Linked DNA regions of Struthio camelus. The protein of the gene in region 2 interacts with the protein of the main gene of each other region in a biochemical or structural test. Links are inferred from orthologs where the notes say so. Each region holds a gene or a part of one and is shown on either strand. Other genes may lie near its edges.

Evidence for each region.
Region 1: the proteins of ARFIP2 (region 2) and ARF5 form a complex in vitro, tested with the Homo sapiens proteins (2 studies listed by BioGRID). The link is inferred for Struthio camelus from reciprocal best matches to the Homo sapiens genes ARFIP2 and ARF5.
Region 3: the proteins of ARFIP2 (region 2) and ARF6 form a complex in vitro, tested with the Homo sapiens proteins (2 studies listed by BioGRID). The link is inferred for Struthio camelus from reciprocal best matches to the Homo sapiens genes ARFIP2 and ARF6.

The regions. Positions count from the first base shown.
Region 1 is NC_090942.1:1,068,296-1,075,423, forward strand, and holds the start of ARF5 (ADP-ribosylation factor 5), read left to right. Parts: upstream 1-4,094; 5' UTR 4,095-4,192; coding exon 4,193-4,259; intron 4,260-4,332; coding exon 4,333-4,413; intron 4,414-6,501; coding exon 6,502-6,611; intron 6,612-7,128. Other genes in the region: GCC1 (GRIP and coiled-coil domain-containing protein 1), read right to left, coding at 1,682-2,728.
Region 2 is NC_090942.1:225,141,379-225,149,445, forward strand, and holds the start of ARFIP2 (arfaptin-2), read right to left. Parts: upstream 3,100-8,067; 5' UTR 2,981-3,099; intron 1-2,980. Other genes in the region: TIMM10B (mitochondrial import inner membrane translocase subunit Tim10 B), read left to right, coding at 3,281-3,316, 4,002-4,097, 4,268-4,537. UniProt on the Homo sapiens protein: Plays a role in constitutive metalloproteinase (MMP) secretion from the trans Golgi network. May have important functions during vesicle biogenesis at certain cargo subdomains, which could be predominantly utilized by secreted MMPs, such as MMP7 and MMP2.
Region 3 is NC_090946.1:81,169,537-81,176,504, forward strand, and holds the start of ARF6 (ADP-ribosylation factor 6), read right to left. Parts: upstream 3,073-6,968; 5' UTR 2,889-3,072; coding exon 2,361-2,888; 3' UTR 1-2,360. UniProt on the Homo sapiens protein: GTP-binding protein involved in protein trafficking that regulates endocytic recycling and cytoskeleton remodeling. GTP-bound form plays an important role in the transport of multiple palmitoylated proteins form the Golgi to the plasma membrane.

The DNA.
Region 1 (7,128 bases), about 220 Mb from region 2:
CGGGAGGGTTAGATTACCTCAACACTCTCTGCAGGAGGTCTGCAGTTTACCCAGGGGCTTAATTCTGCTCTGATGAATTCCAGGCAAGGGCTGAGCCATCCTTTCCCCTAAAATCCTGTACAAGCCACTACGCTGACTTGCCCGTATTGAAAAGGGAGATTCAAGGATAAAAGAAACCAAAGGCATTTTTGTTTTTACTCCCAGTCCTCCAACAGAATTCCTGTCAGCAGTGTTATCTGTATTGCTACAGGTTGGTGGGGGGTAGGAAAAAGCAAATTCATGTCACAGTCTGACATAGGATGTTTAAAAACATGCACGTGCTTTAAAACTCTCATATCTCAAACTACAATTTATTTAAATGCTATGCTTTGTTGCACTGGTATTAACATAATTCAGTGGTTCCTGAGTAACTACAACAAACACCTGGTGCTCACAGTTTTTATGGCTATCGAGAGCCAACTGTCTAATAGAAAATTTGAATGGCAGCACTTGACTGACCATCACGAATTAAAGCATAACTGGGGTCAGATCATTGTCACCTCTGTCAGAGAACGTGTTGCAGATACCGTCCAAAAAGAGGCAAATAGCGTGAAATCAGCCTAGTCCCTAATTAGACCCTTCAGATTAGAAAGGAGAAAACGTGTTCCACGCCGAGGGATGAGGAGGATACCATTCTGGAGTGCTTCCGGCTGCAAATTCAGTTACTGGTGCCATCTCCTGAGCACGTTGCCCCACAACCCACAGAGTTACACAGGTTCCTCTTTTACATCACATCCCTTGTTCTAGCTCTTTTCTCTCCCCACATGCATGCAGGCAAGAGCCTTTTTCTCATATTTACCTTTCTTCTTTCCCCAGAGCTCTTCAAACTTCACTGAAAAGTAACCCCAGGCCCTTCAATAGCACAGGCCACGAAGCTCCCTGGGCTTACGCTAGCCAAACCAGTTTATGTTGTTCCCATCAGCACGGATGGGCTGTCACCTTTAGCTGCACAGCATCTTTCACAATGGATCAGACAAGAACCTCTGCAGTTTGATAGCTTTTGTCACAGCAGCTGTGAAATTCACAGAAATCTCTCATCTGCCATGCTGTAGAATAGGAAAAGGGAAAGATGGTTTCATGACTTCAACAAGCAAGTAGTGCAGGCCCTGAAGACGAAGGCATGAGAGGCCTTATTTCACAATTATCTCCACACTCATCCGGGGAAAGTCCTACCGATTTACAGAACATTGCATTAGAAGTTATTTCCTTTTATGAGCTACAGTAGTTGTACCTTGCATTGCCCTTAAATACTTTACAAGGACAAGAGCACATTCATTGCCACAGTGAGTCAAAGCAAAGGTCTCTCCTCCCATCCCAGCCACTATCACACCAGATGATAACGTGTTCAGAACCTAATGACGCTCTAGAGGATAGCCACAGCCCAAGCACCTCATAAAGGCTGCTCCCAACGCCCATGGTCATTAGCCCCTGCATAGTATGACTTACACACTGAACCACAAACAGCCTTTATTTTCCTCAGGGAATACCGTCTCATCAAATAAAGCCATGATGTTCTTACTTATTTCAAACTTCTTGGACAGGGAAGGGAAATTGTGCCGCCACTCCAGTCAAACCCTGCCCCCTGACTGCTGCTGCTATGTCCCGCAGAGTAAGCTGCTCAAGCACACAGCCAGGGAATTACCTTTCTCATCTCTTGCAATAGCTGCACTTGGAAGTGATTCTTGAGACTGGCCATCTCCTCCTGCAGATCCTGTATCCGTGGGTCTGGTTTGTTGCTCTCTTCCTGCACAGTTTGCAACTCTTTTTTCAGGTCTTCTACCTCCTGGCTCAGCTGCTTGATCTGCAGTTCATACCCCTCCGCACGGTCAGCCAGGCATACCCTCCCAGCCAACAGCTCCCTGGTCTCCTCTAGCTTTAGCTCTACGTCCTGGCGTGAAGTCCTCTCAGTCTGGAGCAGCTTCTGCAGCTCTCGCAGCATAACAGCGTGGTCACCCTGTTCTTGGGCTCGGTCATGCTGCTGTGTGATCAGACGGGCTTTGGTCTCTGCTAACTGTTCCTGGACAGACTTCAGCTCGGTCTCCAACTTGTCCCTCTCATCCTCTGCTTTCTTAACGGCATCATCCAGGTCTTGTTTCATCTTCTTCTTGTCTGCTTGGTATGAAGCTTCCATGCGAGATTTCTCCTGTGTGACTGTGGACAGAGCACTGGTCAAGGTGGCCAGCTGAGTCTTCAGCTGGAGCACTCTTTTATCAGCCTCACCAGCAGATGATGGCACATCTCCGCTGTTTGTGCTGATGCCGCTCTCTGAACCGCTTGTCTCCTCTGATTTAAGAGAGGAGGCAGTGGCCGCAGGCTTATCATCCTCAGCTCCTGGTTCAGCTTTGGTACTGGCCAGACTGGCAGCCGTGTCTGCACTGGTGGCTGTCCCCACGCTATCCTCACTGTGAACAGAACTCCTGTCATCAGCAGAATCGGCAAAGGAAGAGCTGGAGCTTGCCACAGACGCAGGGTGAGCTCCACTCAAGCCAACATCTGCCTCATGAGACACGGACAATACTTTCAAGCTAGCTTCCAAGGCCTCCTTTTCTTTGAGCAAGCTCTTGTAGGCTCTGACAACATCCTTCAGCCGAGCCTGGTACTGAAGAAGCTGCTTTTTCTGAGATTCAATAGTTTCTAGAAGATCTTTTTTACTTGGGCCACCTCCGAAGTTCATGCCAAACTTCTCCATGATGCCCTGTGCGATCTGAAACGAGAAGGAGAAAACCAGTGCACAGGCTAAACAAAGAGCAAAGACATATTTATGATTAACAGGAGCAGGTTGCTCATCAGGACCAGCATGCTGGACTCCCCCTGGGACACCAGTTAATGACCCTGTAACAGAACAGCCTAAGAAACATACTGGGCTGCTGTTAGGCCGCAGAAGGGTTGAGGTGGGCAAGGACCTCTGGAGACCGGCTGGTCCAACCCCCTGCTCAAGCAGGGTCACCGAGAGCACGTTGCCCAGGATCGCGTCCAGGTGGGTTTTGGAACATCTCCAAGGAGGGAGGCTCCACAACCGCTCTGGGCAACCTGTGCCGGTGCTCTGTCACCCTCGCGCTGAAGAAGTTTTTCCTCATGCTCAGACAGAGCTTCCTGGGCTTCAGCCGGGGCCCGCTGCCTCTCGTCCTGTCACCGGGCCCCACCGGGGGGGGGGGGGAGGGCCCAGCCGCGCACCGCCAGCCCGGAGCCCTACCAAGGGGGCCTCTCCCGGGCCGCCGGGGCTGGGGGAGGCATCGGGGCAGGAGAGAGGGCAGCGACGGGCCGCCGGGGGCGTCCCCAAACCCCCCCTCCCGCTCCCGGCCCGCGCCGCCGCCGCCGCCCGGGCCTCACCTGCAGGCCGGCGGGTCGCAGCCTCCACTGCGCAGGCGCGGAGCCCCCCCCCCCGCCGCCCGCCGCGGCTCAGTGCGCACGCGCCAGACCGCCGTTTTTTTTCCCCCCCCGCCTCCTCCACCCCCTCCCGGGAGATCGGACTGCGCAGGCGCGAACCGCACCGAGGCGCGAGGGCGGCGCCTGGCGGGGCGCCCGTCACAATCCGCCGGGGTGAGATTCCCCCTCCCCCCCCCCTCCCCCGGGGCATGCGCACATGGGGGCGACACGCCACAGACGCGCCGCGAGCGCCGCCCGCGGAGCCAATGGGCTTCAATGCGCAGGCGCAGCCCCGCCCCCCGGGGGGGCCAATACGCCATCGGCAGCAGGGGCGGGGGCGGAAGTGGGCGGGGCTTCCGTGGGGACGGGAGCGGGGGGGGGGTGCGCGCGCGCGCGCGCGTCAGAGGGAAGGGGCGAGGCCCATGGAGGCGTGTCACGGCGAGGGGCGGGCCTAAATAACCCCGGGGGCGGGGCTTCTCCGGCGGGGCGCCGTAAGGCAGGGATGAGGCCGAGGGGGCGGGGCTTCGTCCAAGGGGGCGTGGCGGCCGGGGGGGCGGGCCCGAGGGGCAGGAGGCGGGCCCGGGCGGCGCGGGGGCGCAGGGAGCGGGCGGGGCCTGGCTAAGAGGGGGCGGGGTCTAGCTAAGTGAGGGCGGGGAGGGGGCGGGGTCTGGCGGGGAGGGGGCGGGGCCTGGCGGCGAGGGGGCGTGGCGCGGCGCGGCGGAGCGCCGAGGCAGCGGGGCCGTCGCGTCCCTCCCCTCCCGCCGCCGCCGCCGCCGCCGCCGCCGCCATGGGCCTCACGGTGTCCGCCATCTTCTCCCGCATCTTCGGCAAGAAGCAGATGCGGATCCTCATGGGTGAGCGGCGGGGGCGGGCGGCGGGCCGGGGCCGGGCCTGGGGGCACCGGTGACCGCCGCCTCTCTGTTGCAGTGGGGCTGGACGCCGCCGGCAAGACCACCATCCTCTACAAGCTGAAGCTGGGCGAGATCGTCACCACCATCCCCACCATCGGTGAGTGGCCGCCGCCGGGCCGCCCCCGGCCGCCCCCGGCCCTGGACGCGGCTGGCGTCGCCGGCCCGGTGCCCCGTCCGCGTGCCGGGGGCTGCCGGCCGGCTGGGAGGGTGGTCCTGGCCCGGCGCGGTCGAGCGGCCCTACCGCGCGGAGGCCGGGGGCCTCGGCAGCGCCTGCCGCCTCCCGCCTTTGCAGCCTTGCCGGGCGCGCCGCCTCGCTCGGCGAGCAGGGTTGGCTTGTGGGCCACCTTGCGCTCGCGCAGCTTGGTTTGCGGCTCCTCATCTGCCTTGTGTTGGCAAGCGCTGAACTGAAGCCCTTACGTCAGCGTGATCTTGCTTCGGTCTGGTTCAAAGGCACTTCGCTTGGCGAGGAGGCCGCCACGTGCTGTTTTCAGAGCCTGCCCGAGCTCTAAAGGCAGGACAGGTTGTTGTTCCTGCCGGCGCACGGGTGGAAAGCCTTTAGGGAGGCTTTCAACGCTGTCTCCCATAACATCTCAGACAAACTGGTGAAGGACACGCTAACTAAGTCAACTGAAATCTGGCTAAACTGCTGGGCTCAGAGGGTTATGATGAGTAGCACAAAGTCCACCTGGAGGCCGGTCACGAGTGGTGCGCCCCAGGGGTCCATACTGGGGCCAACACTCTTTAACACCTTCGTTAATGACCTGGGTGGTGGGACCGAACGCACCCTCAGCAAGTTTGTAGACAATGCAAAAGGGGGAGGAGTGGCTGATACCCCAGAGGGGCCTCAAGAGGCTGGAGAGATGGGCAGAGAGGAACCTCATGAAGTTCAACACAGGGAAGGGCAGAGTCCTGCCCCTGGGGAGCAATAACTCCAGACACCAGGACAAGCTGGGGTCTGCAGCCAACTGGCTGCAGAGCAGCCTTGCAGAGAAGGCCTAGGTGGTCCTGGTGGGACAACAAGTTGAACATGGGTCAGCAACATACTCTTACAGCAAAGGTGGCCAGTGGCCTCCTGGGTTGCATTAGGCAGAGCGTTGCTAGCAGGTCGAGGGAGGTGATCCTTCCCCTCTGCTCAGCCCTGGTGAGGCCACACCTGGAGTGCCGAGTCCAGGTCTGGGCTCCTCAGGACAGAGAGGCATGGACCTGCTGGAGCATGTCCAGCAAAGGACCACAGAGATGATGAAGGAACTGGAGCATCTGTCATATTAAGAAAGGCTGAGAGAGCTGGGACTCTTCAGCCTGGAGAAGAGAAGACTCAGGGTGGTGTCTTATTCGTGTGACTAAAGAGCTGAAGGTAAGATGTTAAGAAGATGTGCCAGACTCTTCTCAGTTGTGCCCGGTGACAGGATAAGAGGCAGTGGGCGCAAGCTGAAACACAGGAATTTCCACTTGAACACAAGAAAACACTCCTTCACTGTGAGGGTGACTGAGCACTGGAACAGATTGCCCAGAGAGGTTGTGGAGTCTCCATCCTTGGAGATATTCAAAATCCACCTGGACACGATCCTGTGCAATGTGTTCTACATGACCCTGCTTGAGTTGGGGATTGGACTAGATGATCTCCAGAGGCTCTTCTCAACCCCAACTGTTCTGTGATTTTTGGTACATGAGTATCAGCCACATCTGGGCTGCTGAGGTTTTCAAGGGGATGTTCCCAGGGGCTGGCTGGTGAAATCATGCAGTGCTGGTCCTGGAGAGCTGGCAGGGCCAGGATAGACTTGCTGGGCAATGCTTGTGAGCGTGGGGATGCTCAGCTTGCAGAGTGAGCAGGCTGAGGGCAGGAAGCTCTGCAGCATGTGTTTCCTAGACCCTCTGCACAGCCGAATTGTGTTAACAGTGCGGTGCTGGGGGTAGAGATGCTCCCTGGGGATTGGTGGCAGATGAATGCAGCAGTGCACCTTGGTCTCCCTTCCTGCACTCCTGAGACACCAGTGGGTGTTGTATGCCTGATGCTGCATCATCTCCCTGTGCGATTCTCTGTCCCGCAGCTCAGAAACACAGAGTTTGATCAGACTAGGGCTGCTGCCTCCTGTGTCTCTTGCCTGTGGTCTGAGAGCCCTGAGGCTGCCAGCAGGATTGACAGTGTGTGTGCTGTCACTTCTTGCCCTTCCTGCCACCCCTGCAGGGTTCAACGTGGAGACAGTGGAGTACAAGAACATCTGCTTCACGGTCTGGGATGTGGGTGGCCAGGACAAAATCCGCCCCCTGTGGAGGCACTACTTCCAGAACACGCAGGTACGTGCCGCCGCAGGCCACGGTGGATGTGGCTGTTGCATGGGGACCCCTTCAGGCCTCTGTGCTGCTGGGGGGGCGAAGGGTCATGGGCCCCCACATCTGCAACAAACGCTGTTCTGGTCGGTGGGATGAACCTGCTCCCCTCTTAGCAAAAGAGGGCATTGCGTGGGGAAAGGTCGAAGCTCATCGTCACCTCTGGTCCTCGAGTGGCTGGTGGCAGGCTTTCTTCCTCCTAACGAGGAACTGAGCAGGGAGCTCGGCTGAAGTCACTCTCGTTCCCTCGTGTGCAGGCATGTGCTTTGGGATTAGAGGAAATCTGGGATAGTGCTTGGTTGAACTTCATGACTTGTAGCGATGCAGGGTCCCAGCAGCCTGTGGTCCCTTGGAGCTTCTGGCATGATCCTGCCTGAACTGAGCGTGTGAGTGGCTGCAGGAAATAATTCCTGGCTCCCAGTGCAGTGAGCCAGATGGGTCCCTAAGGACTGTATCTGGATATTTCCCTCAGCTCCTTAGCAGG
Region 2 (8,067 bases):
ACACAGCGAAAGCTGTACCGTATAGCTCATATCTAGTGGTCTCTGCACCTGCCCTCAGGTTGTAGCTCAGAACAGCCCTCAAACAGTGACCATGGCTCCTGCTCCAGAGCCTGCTCCAGAGCAGGGAAACTACAGCTTGGGAAGAGAAACAACTCACAGTCAACTAACGGCAGAGGCAAAGGCAGAGAGCGGACCCAGCAGTCCTGATTGCCCTGCAGCTGTAGGCAGGACGCTCCACCTGGGTGGCACCCACCCCTCGCTGCGGCAGCCAGGGCCTGAGGCCAGGCAGCACCAGGTAAGCACAATGGTTCCAGTCACGCAGGGACCCACCAGCACTGGCACTTGCTCTTTGACAAGAGCTCTATAGATCTGGTCCCATATCAAAAACAGTGGGAGTCACCACTGACCCTAGCAGCAACCCAACACGAACACGCCTTAGCAAGTACAGGGAGCAGGATACGAAGGGCAGAACACGCAACTCCAGCAGTACTCCCTGATCTCTCTGAGCCAAACCTCTACCTGCAACATGGCCTGGGCCCTGGGAAACTCCCAGCCCTGTGGGCTTCCCTTGAGCAGGCAGTCGCTCTGTTCTGGAGGGGCTGCAGCGCCAGGGAAAGACAACACCACCCAACAGCACCTGGCACTGGGCTCTCCCCTGGGTGAATGGGGTGGCCGTGGCCCCACAGACACATCCCCAGCCCCCTCCTGAAGCGGGGCACCATCTCCTGGCCCCAGTGGGCAGCAGGGACAGATGTAACGCGCAGCAGCACCCAGCTGTGGTGCCCTCAGCCGTGCCGCTAGCACAGCGGCCCCCGAGGTCAGCCCTGATTGCCCTGGAGGCACTTGCTGTTTCAGGCAGGCATCTGCCATGCCTTCACGCTGCAGTTCCCAGCACGGAGCCCCACGCACCAGCGGTGCACACAACCCCACCACTCCCCCACCCGCACCCCCTGTCCACAGGCACCCAGCGCCCCCCGCTCCCCCACCCGCACCCCCTGTCCACAGGCACCCAGCGCCCCCCGCTCCCCCTGTCCACGGGCACACAGCGCCCCCCGCTCCCCCCGCTCCCCCACCCCCTGTCCACGGGCACACAGCGCCCCCCGCTCCCCCACCCCCTGTCCACGGGCACACAGCACCCCCCGCTCCCCCACCCCCTGTCCACGGGCACACAGCACCCCCCGCTCCCCCCACTCCCCCACCCGCACCCCCTGTCCACGGGCACACAGCACCCCCCGCTCCCCCTGTCCACGGGCACCCAGCGCCCCCCGCTCCCCCACCCCCTGTCCACGGGCACACAGCGCCCCCCGCTCCCCCTGTCCACGGGCACACAGCACCCCCCGCTCCCCCACCCGCACCTCCTGTCCACGGGCACACAGCACCCCCCGCTCCCCCCACTCTCCCACCCCGCAGCCCCTGTCCACGGGCACACAGCACCCCCCGCTCCCCCCACTCCCCCACCCCGCAGCCCCTGTCCACGGGCACACAGCGCCCCCCGCTCCCCCACCCGCACCCCCTGTCCACGGGCACACAGCACCCCCCGCTCCCCCTGTCCACGGGCACCCAGCGCCCCCCGCTCCCCCACCCCCTGTCCACGGGCACACAGCGCCCCCCGCTCCCCCTGTCCACGGGCACACAGCACCCCCCGCTCCCCCACCCGCACCTCCTGTCCACGGGCACACAGCACCCCCCGCTCCCCCCACTCTCCCACCCCGCAGCCCCTGTCCACGGGCACACAGCACCCCCCGCTCCCCCCACTCCCCCACCCCGCAGCCCCTGTCCACGGGCACACAGCACCCCCCGCTCCCCCACCCGCACCCCCTGTCCACGGGCACACAGCACCCCCCGCTCCCCCCACTCTCCCACCCCGCAGCCCCTGTCCACGGGCACCCAGCACCCCCCGCTCCCCCCACTCCCCCACCCCGCAGCCCCTGTCCACGGGCACCCAGCACCCCCCGCTCCCCCCACTCTCCCACCCCGCACCCCCTGTCCACGGGCACACAGCACCCCCCGCTCCCCCCACTCTCCCACCCCGCAGCCCCTGTCCACGGGCACACAGCACCCCCCGCTCCCCCCACTCCCCCACCCCGCAGCCCCTGTCCACGGGCATACAGCACCCCCCGCTCCCCCACCCGCACCCCCTGTCCACGGGCACACAGCACCCCCCGCTCCCCCCACTCTCCCACCCCGCAGCCCCTGTCCACGGGCACCCAGCACCCCCCGCTCCCCCCACTCCCCCACCCCGCAGCCCCTGTCCACGGGCACACAGCGCCCCCCGCTCCCCCCACTCCCCCACCCGCAGCCCCTGTCCACGGGCACCCAGCACCCCCCGCTCCCCCCACTCCCCCACCCCGCAGCCCCTGTCCACGGGCACACAGCGCCCCCCGCTCCCCCCACTCCCCCACCCCGCAGCCCCTGTCCACGGGCACACAGCGCCCCCCGCTCCCCCCACTCCCCCACCCGCTCCCCCTGTCCACGGGCACACAGCGCCCCCCGCTCCCCCCGCTCCCCCACCCGCTCCCCCTGTCCACGGGCACACAGCTCCCCCCGCTCCCCCCGCTCCCCCACCCGCACCCCCTGTCCACAGGCACCCAGCGCCCCCCGCTCCCCCTGTCCACGGGCACCCAGCGCCCCCCGCTCCCCCACCCCCTGTCCACGGGCACACAGCGCCCCCCGCTCCCCCCACTCCCCCACCCGCACCCCCCGTCCACGGGCACACAGCGCCCCCCACTCCCCCACCCGCACCCCCTGTCCACGGGCACACAGCGCCCCCCGCTCCCCCCACTCCCCCACCCCCTGTCCACGGGCACACAGCGCCCCCCGCTCCCCCCACTCCCCCCCCCGCACCCCCTGTCCACGAGCACACAGCGCCCCCCGCCCCCAGGTCCCGGCCCCCGGCTCCCCCAGGCCCCAGGCCCCAGGCCCCAGGCCCCAGGCCCCAGGCCCCAGGCCCCAGGCCCAGGCCCCAGGCCCCGCCGCCCACCTGCGCCGCCCCGGCCGCTGCCGGGTCCCCCCGCCCCGGAGGCGCCGGAGCCCCGATCCGCCTCGGCCCCGGCACACACCGGAACCGACGTCACACCCCGGGCAGGGGACGCCGGGAGGCAGGGCGGAAGTGGCGTCACCAGGGGGCGACCGGGAACAGCGCCGGGCGGAACAGGGCCGGAAATGGCCTGATCCCCGGAAGCGGCGGCCCCAAGAGGAACGGCGCTTCCGAAAACACCGGAGGTGACAGGCGCGACCGGAAGTTGTGTCATTGCTCCTGGCCGGAAGTGCCTGTGCGGGCATGGAGCAGAGCGGGGAGCAGCAGCAGCTCCGCAGCGTGAGGGGGGCCGGGGCCGGGGCCGGGGCCGGGGCCGGGGCCGGGTGGGGCCTGGGGCGCTGCGGGGCTGCAGGAGCTCGGCCGGGGGCCCGGGGAGTGGCAAGGCCCAGGGCGCTGGGGGGCTCGGTGGGGCCACGAGATGCTCAGGGGGTTGGTGGGGACCCCGGGGCGCTCGAGTGCTGGGCGGGGACCCCGAGATGCTCAGGGTGTTGGTGGGGACCCCGGGGTTCTCGGGTGCTGGGTGGGGACCCCGAGATGCTCAGGGGGTTGGTGGGGACCCCGGGGCGCTCGAGTGCTGGGCGGGGACCCCGAGATGCTCAGGGGGTTGGTGGGGACCCCGGGGCGCTCGAGTGCTGGGCGGGGACCCCGAGATGCTCAGGGTGTTGGTGGGGACCCCGGGGTGCTCGGGTGCTGGGCGGGGACCCCGAGATGCTCAGGGGGTTGGTGGGGACCCCGGGGCGCTCGGGGGCTCGGTGGGGACCCCGAGATGCTCAGGGGGTTGGTGGGGACCCCGGGGCGCTCGGGGGCTGGGTGGGGACCCCGAGATGCTCAGGGGGTTGGTGGGGACCCCGGGGCGCTCGAGTGCTGGGCGGGGACCCCGAGATGCTCAGGGGGTTGGTGGGGGCCTGGGACACTGGCAGACCCTGAGCAGGGTGAGCGTGCACCAGCGCTGTTGCTCTTCCAGCTGCGGGACTTCCTGCTGGTCTACAACCGGATGACTGAACTCTGCTTCCGGCGCTGCGTCTCCAACCTGAACTACCGCGTGCTCACCAAGCATGAGGTGAGCCCAGCGTTGGGCCTTTCTCGGGCGGCTGGAGCACCGCAGGTCTTGCAGTGCTGGTTTCCTGCTCGCGTCACAGCACTGGATGGGCTGGAGGGGCTGTGGGGAGAGGCAGCGCGTGCCCCTGATGAGGAGCCCGCCTGCCGTGCTGACACCTCGCCATCCTGCAGGAGATGTGCCTGGACAGCTGTGCTGGAAAACTGGTCCACTCCAACCACCGCCTCATGAGTGCCTATGTGGCGCTTATGCCCTCCATTGTGCAGCGCCGTGCCTCGGACTACGAGGCCAGTGCAGCCCAGACGTCTGCAAATTCTGCCAAGGAAGTATCAGTGGCACCGCCTGCCCTCCCAGGTACTGGGGGCCCTGATGCCCAGCCTGACTTGCAGGTGGCTTCTGGCATTGGTGGAGCCACAGAAGGAGCCTCAGATGCTGGCACATAGCACAGCTGTAACTCCTGGGCCCTGCCTTCTCACAGCAGTGGTGGGATGGATGGTTGCAGGCTGGATCTGGGCCCTGTGTTACCAGTGTGAGAAGTAACTTGTGGGCAGTGCAGTGAGATCTGGGCCTCCACACGCTGTTGCTACTGCTAGTCTGGAGCGGTAGAATCCTCTCTGCACCAACACCAGACCTTGCAGGTCCACATCCTCTAATGCATCTGCATTACGAACAGCCTCCTGACATCGGCCACATCCGTTCAGTGTCTGGTGGCGCTGGGGCTGAGACCGACGGCTGGCACTGAAGGCAGTAAGGGAGAAAACTAGTGCTGCGGTTCTGGCCAAGAGGGCTCTTAGCTGAACTCTTTTGTCTTAACAACAAAGCTCCTTTGGTGCTGCAGAGTTGGAGCTTTTCTACTGCTGGGAAGGTGTTTCCCGGTCCTAATAAAAGAGTCATCGCGAATGTCGGGCTGTGGGCGTGCGGCGGGGCGAGCAGACCTCGAGCGCTGGCGCGCTGCGCCCGGCGGGGGGGACGGTCCCTGCCGCAGGGGCGGGGCGGGGGCTGCGCGCCCGGCCCCCTCCTCTGTCCCCGCCTCGGCCCGTGGTGTCGAAGAAGGGGCGGGGCCAGGCGCAGGGCGGAGCCCGCGGGGTGGGGCAAGGGGCGGGGCAGAGCCTGCGGGGTGGGGTCTGCGGGGGCGGAGCCCGTGGGCGCTAGGGTGGGGGTGGGGCAGGGCCAGGCGCAGGGCGGAGCCTGTGGGGGTGGGGCCAGGGGCGGAGCCCGTGGGCGCTGGGGTGGGGCGGGGCCTGCGGGGGCGGGGACAGGTGCAGGGCAGAGGCTGCCGGGCCGGGGCGGGGCACAGGGCGGAGCCTGTGGCCCAGGGGCGGGGTTAGGCGCGAGGCGGAGCTGGCAGGGGCGGGGCGGGGCGCGGGGAGGAGCTCATGGGTCGGGGCGGGGCCTCCCCGTGCGGCTCCCCGGCGACGGCGGCCGGCGGGGGCTGAGGTGCGCCGGGCTGGGCCGCGCTGGGCCCCGAGAGTCTGTCCCCCGGGGACGGTGTCCCTGGCCGCCTTCGTCAGCAGCCAGGCCGTGTCCCGTGTCCCTCCTGTGTCCCTTGGCGGCCAGGCCGTGTCCCGTGTCCCTCCTGTGTCCCTCGGCGGCCAGGCCGTGTCCCGTGTCCCTCCAGTGTCCCTTGGCGGCCAGGCCGTGTCCCGTGTCCCTCCTGTGTCCCTCGGCGGCCAGGCCGTGTCCCATATCCCTCCTGTGTCCCTCGGCGGCCAGGCCGTGTCCCGTGTCCCTCCTGTGTCCCTCGGCGGCCAGGCCACGTCCCGTGTCCCTCCTGTGTCCCTCGGCGGCCAGGCCGTGTCCCATATCCCTCCTGTGTCCCTCGGCGGCCAGGCCGTGTCCCATATCCCTCCTGTGTCCCTTGGCGGCCAGGCCGTGTCCCATATCCCTCCTGTGTCCCTCGGCGGCCAGGCCGTGTCCCGTGTCCCTCCTGTGTCCCTTGGCGGCCAGGCCGTGTCCCATATCCCTCCTGTGTCCCTTGGCGGCCAGGCCACGTCCCGTGTCCCTCCTGTGTCCCTCGGCGGCCAGGCCGTGTCCCGTGTCCCTCCTGTGTCCCTCGGCGGCCAGGCCGTGTCCCGTGTCCCTCCTGTGTCCCTTGGCGGCCAGGCCGTGTCCCATACCCCTCCTGTGTCCCTCGGCGGCCAGGCCGTGTCCCGTGTCCCTCCAGTGTCCCTCGGCGGCCAGGCCGTGTCCCATATCCCTCCTGTGTCCCTCGGCGGCCAGGCCGTGTCCCATATCCCTCCTGTGTCCCTTGGCGGCCAGGCCGTGTCCCATATCCCTCCTGTGTCCCTCGGCGGCCAGGCCGTGTCCCGTGTCCCTCCTGTGTCCCTTGGCGGCCAGGCCGTGTCCCATATCCCTCCTGTGTCCCTCGGCGGCCAGGCCGTGTCCCGTGTCCCTCCTGTGTCCCTCGGCGGCCAGGCCGTGTCCCGTGTCCCTCCTGTGTCCCTTGGCGGCCAGGCCGTGTCCCATACCCCTCCTGTGTCCCTCGGCGGCCAGGCCGTGTCCCGTGTCCCTCCAGTGTCCCTCGGCGGCCAGGCCGTGTCCCGTGTCCCTCCTGTGTCCCTCGGCGGCCAGGCCGTGTCCCATATCCCTCCTGTGTCCCTCGGCGGCCAGGCCGTGTCCCGTGTCCCTCCTGTGTCCCTCGGCGGCCAGGCCACGTCCCGTGTCCCTCCTGTGTCCCTCGGCGGCCAGGCCGTGTCCCATATCCCTCCTGTGTCCCTCGGCGGCCAGGCCGTGTCCCATATCCCTCCTGTGTCCCTTGGCGGCCAGGCCATGTCCCGTGTCCCTCCTGTGTCCCTCGGCGGCCAGGCCGTGTCCCGTGTCCCTCCTGTGTCCCTTGGCGGCCAGGCCGTGTCCCGTGTCCCTCCTGTGTCCCTCGGCGGCCAGGCCACGTCCCGTGTCCCTCCTGTGTCCCTCGGCGGCCAGGCCGTGTCCCATATCCCTCCTGTGTCCCTTGGCGGCCAGGCCGTGTCCCATATCCCTCCTGTGTCCCTCGGCGGCCAGGCCGTGTCCCGTGTCCCTCCTGTGTCCCTCGGCGGCCAGGCCGTGTCCCGTGTCCCTCCTGTGTCCCTTGGCGGCCAGGCCGTGTCCCATATCCCTCCTGTGTCCCTCGGCGGCCAGGCCGTGTCCCGTGTCCCTCCTGTGTCCCTTGGCGGCCAGGCCGTGTCCCATACCCCTCCTGTGTCCCTCGGCGGCCAGGCCACGTCCCGTGTCCCTCCTGTGTCCCTCGGCGGCCAGGCCGTGTCCCGTGTCCCTCCTGTGTCCCTTGGCGGCCAGGCCGTGTCCCATATCCCTCCTGTGTCCCTCGGCGGCCAGGCCGTGTCCCGTGTCCCTCCTGTGTCCCTTGGCGGCCAGGCCGTGTCCCATATCCCTCCTGTGTCCCTCGGCGGCCAGGCCGTGTCCCGTGTCCCTCCTGTGTCCCTTGGCGGCCAGGCCGTGTCCCATATCCCTCCTGTGTCCCTCGGCGGCCAGGCCGTGTCCCGTGTCCCTCCTGTGTCCCTCGGCGGCCAGGCCGTGTCCCGTGTCCCTCCTATGTCCCTCGGCGGCCAGGCCACGTCCCGTGTCCCTCCTGTGTCCCTCGGCGGCCAGGCCGTGTCCCGTGACCCTCCTGTGTCCCTCGGCGGCCAGGCCGTGTCCCATATCCCTCCTATGTCCCTTGGCGGCCAGGCCACGTCCCGTGTCCCTCCTGTGTCCCTTGGCGGCCAGGCCGTGTCCCGTGTCCCTCCTATGTCCCTTGGCGGCCAGGCCACGTCCCGTGTCCCTCCTGTGTCCCTTGGCGGCCAGGCCGTGTCCCTCCTGTGTCCCTTGGTGGCCAGGCCACGTCCCGCGTCCCTCCTGTGTCCATTGGTGGCCAGGCCGTGTCCTGTGTCCTGACGGGGCAGGCTGTGTCCCATGTCCCTCCTATGTCCCTTGGCAGCGAGGCCGCGTCCCATGTCCATCGGCAGCCAGGCCATGTCCCGTGTCCTGGCAGGGTGGA
Region 3 (6,968 bases), on a different chromosome or scaffold from region 2:
TTTTCATTTTGACTGAGAATAGATTTAAGAAAGTTCAAGAACCATTAATAGACCTTCAAGTTTTCCAGTTTAGGCATTTACTTTGTGCTTGGCTATTTTATTTATGCTCCAGAAGAAAACAATAACCATATTCTTATATTTTTAGTCTTTATACTACCACGCTATTTGTTAAGTTACATCAACAGAAAAAAGAATTCTTACGCTTATAAAAAAAAAAAAACCCTAGAAAATAGAGCAATGATATTCCAATGGCAAAAAGACTTAAGTGAAAAGCCTCACCTCCTCTTCTTCAGGACTGAGATTTAAGAGCTTTTGTACTGTACATGAAGCTTGTTTTTCCAGACTCTTATCTTTAACTTGCACAGGTTTATAATCAATCAGTGCTCTATCTTCTAGTATCAAGAACCCATTCAATCCCATTTGCAACCCACATCAAGATAAGTCTTCTTTCGGAACCATGCTCTAAGGTAATTTGTAAGTGGTCCAAAGCATACAAATTCAGAAGTGAATTCAGCATTTTTATCTTCCCATATGTCTTTGGTAAGAGCTCCATACACAATGCATTTAGCATGCAGAGTAAACACTGCAGAAATGTAGTGTAATGCCCCAATTTCATGTAAAACTCATAACCTTGGAAAAGGAAGGAAAAAAAAAAAGAAAGCCATTTTCTTCTGGTTTTGTAGCATACATTCCTAGAATTCCCCAATTGAATTTTAACTCCTTGAGGAAATCTGAAGTTAATCCTTAAGGCTGAATAAGAACCAGCTGCTTTACATTTTTTGCACCCAGTATTAATACTTGATTGAGATTTTATACTAATACAAATACTTGCTTTGGGTGGGTTTTTTTTGCCAGTCACATCTGAAAACTGTGACATGGCAAATGAGCTGCTTGCCCTTTAAGAACTAGTTATGGAAGTTTACATTCATAGTCGTCTTCTCACTCTCTCCTCCCGTTCTCATTAATAGTTACTCAATGGGCTTCAGACATCCAACATAGTTCCTTTCATACAGGACTACAGCAACAACATGCTACCGAGACAGATGGCGAAGACTGCAACTATTTGTATGAGTTAAGTCTAGTCTTGCAGAACTAAACCAGTAAGTGATTTCCTCAAAATGGCAATCATTCACATGTCAGAATTACTGAGCTCTGTTAAAGCTTCGCGCTGAACTTGCCCATTCGGGAGTCTACAAAATGGAAAAATAGGGTTCTGGTTCTCCTTTCTCCAATACATGCATTTCAGAAGTAACGAAAATAAATCCTTTTAAGGTTTAAAAGATGTCTTCAAGTGTCTTGAGATGAAAGCAACTTTTCTTTATCGCAAGACAGTAAAGTCAGTGCTAGATTTTTGCCTAAACGTTTGTGATTTAAATTAAAACTTGTCGCAATGGTTACACGTTATTGCTGCATTTTTTTGGAAGGAACATATCTTGCGTTGAATTGGAGACTGACACAAGTAATAAAAACTGCAGCTAAACATCATTAAGTTTGCAATGCAAGACAAAAACTGAACAGTATATACCCTGGAACTACTACATCATTCATGTTGTATTTGCTATATGGTTGCTATGTAGTATGGGGAACTTACTTGCATCCCTTCTCATGCATGATGTATGGTTCAGAACTTCACAGCTGACATTTCAAAGCAGTTCTTACATTACCTAGTTAACATTATGCCTGATATGCACTTTGAACATATTACAATGGTATTCTCACTATCTGCCACTGTAGGCAAGATTTCGTTTCATTATTAGTCTGAGATATGAAGACAGACTGAGAGTCACTATTTAGTTACAGATTAACAGAACTTTTAAAAAAGTCCTTAATATAAAAAGACAGACTGCAGTTTGATTTTAAGCAATAGTTTTCCGTTTACTAGATGAAGTAGACCTATCAACATATTCTGCATGGATGCAAAAAAGTAGCAATCTACAGCAAGTGATAGAAGAAAAAAACGTAATCAAAAAAGTAGAACCAGAAAGCATACGCTGAAAATGGTACCCCTCCCCCAACCATCCCCCAAAATAATCAAACCATCTTAAAGGCTATCAAGAGGAAAAAAAAAAGTTACTTAGCAAGTCTACAATGTGTCTTTCCCCTGTTTGCTGGAGGTCTGCCATAGCATCTAGTGCTTGTGTTCGTGTCACGTTTGAAGATTAGAGCATCCTAACGCCAAGCAAGGAGAGTTAAAACAGGAATCCAGTCAGTGTGTAGAACGAAAGGGTGGTAACTGGAGAAAGGTGATCATAATCCTATGGATGCTTTTGTTTTACTTTTCAGTAGAGAATCATTCGTCTGGAAAGCCATGTGGGTTATTTTTTTTTTAATTCTTTGTAGACTAAATAGTTATTCTCTCATTAGGATTTATAATTGGATGTTAACCATGTCAGCCCTTCGTAGAGTCCATCCCCTGTAGTAGCACAGGAGGGCTGCACGTACCAATTCCTATCCCTGATTCGGGTCAGGCCCAGTTTCTCCTGGATTTCATGGGGTTTCATGGCATCGGGCAGGTCCTGCTTGTTGGCGAAGATGAGGATGATGGCGTCCCGCATCTCCCTGTCGTTGATGATGCGGTGGAGCTCCTGGCGGGCCTCGTCGATGCGGTCGCGATCGGCGCAGTCCACCACAAAGATCAACCCTTGCGTGCCCGTGTAGTAGTGCCTCCAGAGGGGACGGATCTTGTCCTGGCCCCCGACATCCCACACGTTGAACTTGACGTTTTTGTAAGTCACCGTCTCCACGTTGAAGCCCACGGTGGGGATGGTGGTGACCGACTGGCCCAGCTTCAGTTTGTACAGGATGGTGGTTTTACCGGCCGCGTCCAGACCCAGCATCAGGATCCGCATCTCCTTGTTGCCGAAGATCTTGGACAGCACCTTGCCCATCTCGGCGGCATCCAAGGGGCCCGGCGCCGGCGGGGGGGGGGAGGGGGGGGAAGGGAGAGATGAGGGACGAGCGGCGACGCAGCCGAGCAGCCGGCGCGGGGCGGCGGCCCGGAGCGCAGCGGAGCGGGGCCGGCCCGGCCCGGCGCGTCAGGCCAAGGGCAGGCGGGGCTCAGCGCCGCATGGGCCGGCCGCGGAGGCCGAGACCTGCCGCTGCGGAGCGGGAAGACCGGCCGCGCCGCGCCCCGCTCGCCGGCCGGGCCTGAGGCGGCGACGGCGGCGGCAACGGCTCCGCCCGGCTCTTGCCTTGGCTGCCGCCCCGGCGCCTCAGCTCATGGAGGCCGGCTCAGGGGCGGCGGCTCCGCGTCCTGGCCCGCGCAGGCGGAGGTAGCGGGGCCGCCGGTAGTTACCTCAGGGCCGCCCGCGGGCTGGGGCTGAGGCCGGGGCCGAGGCCGAGGCCGGCTCCGCTGCTGGCCGCGCCGCGCCGCGCCGCTCCCCTCAGGCAGCTGCCCTCGCCGGAAAAGGCGCCGCGCGAGCCCGCCTCACTTCCCCCTCCGCCGCCACTGCGCCTGCGCGCCGCGCCCCCGCCCCCGGCCCCACCCGCCCTGCCCTCTGCGCATGCGCCCGGCCCCCCCTCACAGCGCGGCGGCGGTGGGGGGGGAGCGGGGCAAGCGGCGCCCCGCCCCTTTCCGCCCGCCCCCGCGCGGCCTCGGGAAGGGAACCGCGCGTGCGCCGGGTGCCGTCACGGCGGCCCGCCCCGCGCGCGTCGGAGGGAGCGCGCGCAGACGGAGCACGCCGGCGCAGAAGGGCGGGGCGGCGGCGTAGGAGCGCGCCCGATTTGCCCGCCGCGAGCGCCGCGCGTGCGCCGTCTGCGCACGCCCCGCCGCCCAGCACAGGCGAGGGCGGTACTTCCCGTACTGCTGCGCCTGCGCAGCGGGCCGGGGAGCAACGGGGCGGGGCCGGGACCGGGGCTTGCGGCGTGAGTGCGCATGCGGCAGCCGGAGGGGGCGGGGCGTCTGTGGAGAGAGGCGCCACGCGATCACACGTCAGCACACGACACGCGCAGGACGCCACGGGCGCTTCTTAAAGGGCCCGGAGCGGGGCGGGGGAGGTGGGATGGGTGTCGCTGCCGCTGCTCCTTGCGCGCATGCGCGGGGGCGGGCGCGTGCCCGTGCCCGCCCTGACGGCGGTTGGCGCCAACCGTTGCGCCCGGCCGCCTGCGCTTTGGGGGAGGGGTGATGCGCCTGAGGGGCCCCGCCGTCGCTGCGCGGCCGCCGGTGGCCCTGGCTCCTCGCGGAGGGACAGGTCTCACAGGGCCACCGAGGCGGGAAGGGGCCTCTGGTGCCTGGGGTCCGCCCTGCGCTAGGCCGCCCTAGGGAAAAGGGGCTGACGGGGAGGGGGGCCGGGCTCGTCATCGCCCTGCTCTGCCGTGCCGAGGTTGGCAAAAGGTTTAGGCCACCTTGTGGGAAGGGCTTTCTGAGGGAAGCCATCTGCGGGGGGAGCCTGTGCGGTCCCTTCTTGAGGTTTTAGGGTCACGCGCTTTGGAGCTCAGACAGAAGCCTGTGGAGTATGATCCAGAGTGCTTGAGCTGGGCTCATGCATGGTGCTGGACTAACTAATCCCTTAAGGTGTCGTCCAGTCTGCTGTTTTCTGTAATGCCGTAGCTGGAACATCAGACTGGCCCTCAGGGTCTCGACTCATTGCCTGCTAATGGAAGAGCAAAGCTGAACGCAGTGTTGGAGCCTCACAGGGAAGCTCAAATCCCGTGGTTGTGTCCCAAATCAATTACACTGAGGGTGCTCAGGCAACATACAGAAGAGGGATCCTGGCTAGGCCGCTCACTTGACCTGTGTGGTGGCGTAGAGCTGGTGGTATATTAGCTCCTGAATGATGCCCAGACGTAGCAAACGCCAACACTGGCCTTGGCAGGTGTTGGAAAAATTAACGTAGGTATGTTGAATGAATCGCTGTTAAAAATCTGTTAGTTGGGGGGAAGAAAGCAGGTCTCATCTGAGCACAGCACAAGCTGTATTTTCTTTAAGAAGAGGAAGTGCCAATGAAGGGCTTGCTGGAAAGGGAAGAAGGTGGCAGACTGGAGAAAGGAAGTGGGAAGTTGGGAGGCAGTGACTTTAGGGACATTATGAAGACTGTGTAGTGTCCGGTAGTTGGCAGGAGCAGTAGAGCAGGGGCAGGGAACAGACTGAAATGTGGGCGTGGAAGGGGCTTGAGCCCTTGTGTAGCTCTGAGTGGTCCTGCCTGACCCCTATGAGCCTGACCTATATGAGCCATAACTGAAAGGGTCATCATACTTAAATCTTTGAAAACCACAGAATATAAATTTGATGTTTGCCTTTTTTTTGTTTTTTAAGGCCTTGAGGAGGGCGGGCTGGCCCGGAAGGTACGTGCTGTATATTGAAAGACGTCACAGGATATGAAACCAAGAACAGTCCTACGCCCAGTCAGCTACTGCCTGCGTTATACATCAGAGTGTTAGACATGGCTGTATGGTTAGGAGCAGCTTTTTTGTGCCCTGGCTCGTGCCAAGCCAGTGGCTTCACAGGCTTGGGAAGAAGACAAGCAGGAGCACATAACTTCTGCAATATAAAAAAGCCTACATTTGACAGCACAAACCACATTTGCAGTATCACTAGCCTTGATGCAAGATGCTTGAGGATATGAGCACAACTCCCCCACTACCATGACAAGATTACAGGAGGAGTAAGGAGGAGGCTGCAGAAGCACGTCTCCCCCCATACCTACACCAGGAGTCAGGATGTCTCGGCTGCAGCCATGCCTGTAGCCTATGGGGGTGAGCCCTCCCCAGTGTTCTCCAAAAAGAATCTCCCCTGTTTTAAAACAAAACAACTTGGGATGTGTAGTGGCAGAAAGGGTTAAGGCTCTTTGGTGGGTGGTGTCTTGGGTCACTCCAGATAACTAGGATCAGTGGAACTTAAACCGTGGCTAACCAACCAGGAAATAAAGTGTTCAAATACCTGGCCACATTCCTCCACTGCCTTCCCTGGGAGCTGTGCCCCACTGTGCACCCTGCACGGTGCAAAACGGCTCCTGCTGCACGTACTTCACAGCCACACGTTGGGCCAGTTTCACAGACAGAAACCCCTGCCGTATGTCGCAACCCCGCCAGGCTGGGCTGCCGGTGACTAGGTGGCGAGGCCGGTACGCCAGGACTCACCGCCCCTGCACGGGGCAGCCCTGTGCTTCCTCGTATGCTCTTAGTCACCATGGGGCTGGTCCTCACCTGGTGATTGCAGGGCAGGCGTGCTGGAGCAGGGCCTGCCTGCGCAGGGCGTTAGCCCGCTTTGTGCTGGCAGGGCCTGCGGGGAGGAAGGCAGTGGGAAATGCAGCCTGTGTTGGTAGCTGTATGTGAGTCACAGGAGAGGACATGGGAAGGGGGGCCAGGGTACAAACCCGGTGAAATGTCCCCCGTGGTCCCCTTGGCATCAGTCTTCAGGAGGCCAGGCTACGTGGCTGCCTTCCAGCCTGCCCGGAGAGCACAGGTGTGCTTTTACTTGAGATTGCATGTGTAAGAGACTTGACCCTCTGTCAATCCCTCTGTCGCTTCAAAAATAGCAAATCTTTCATTTGGGTTAATTTTTATCACAGCCATATTTTTGCTGTTATGTGGCACATGCAAAGCAATCCCCCTTGGAACAGCAAAGGGGAAATCGTGTGCTCTCTTTGCAGTCTAGAATGAGAACGGGAGATTTCCTAGATTACGGAATTATTAAGGGAATGACAACAACAGTTTCAGAGGAAGCCTTTCTCTTTCATGCATTGAGCAAAGAGGGAGAATGCCAAGGAAAACATACCATCCGTGACCTCTCTTAAGCAGCACGTGCAGGCTGAGCTGAGGGTACGATCTGCTGACATCAGGCCTCACGAGTGTCCCTGAGTGCAACAGGCAGTGCCAGGGTTCATGCTCTGGTCTTTAAAGCAGCAAGTATTATGGCTGAGTACCATACTGCCCTGCAATTTACAGTGAGCCCTACCGATCCCCCTGGATACTGCCAGTTCAGTCTCATCTCTTTAGTAAAGGAAATTTATCTAAATGGAGTTTACTGC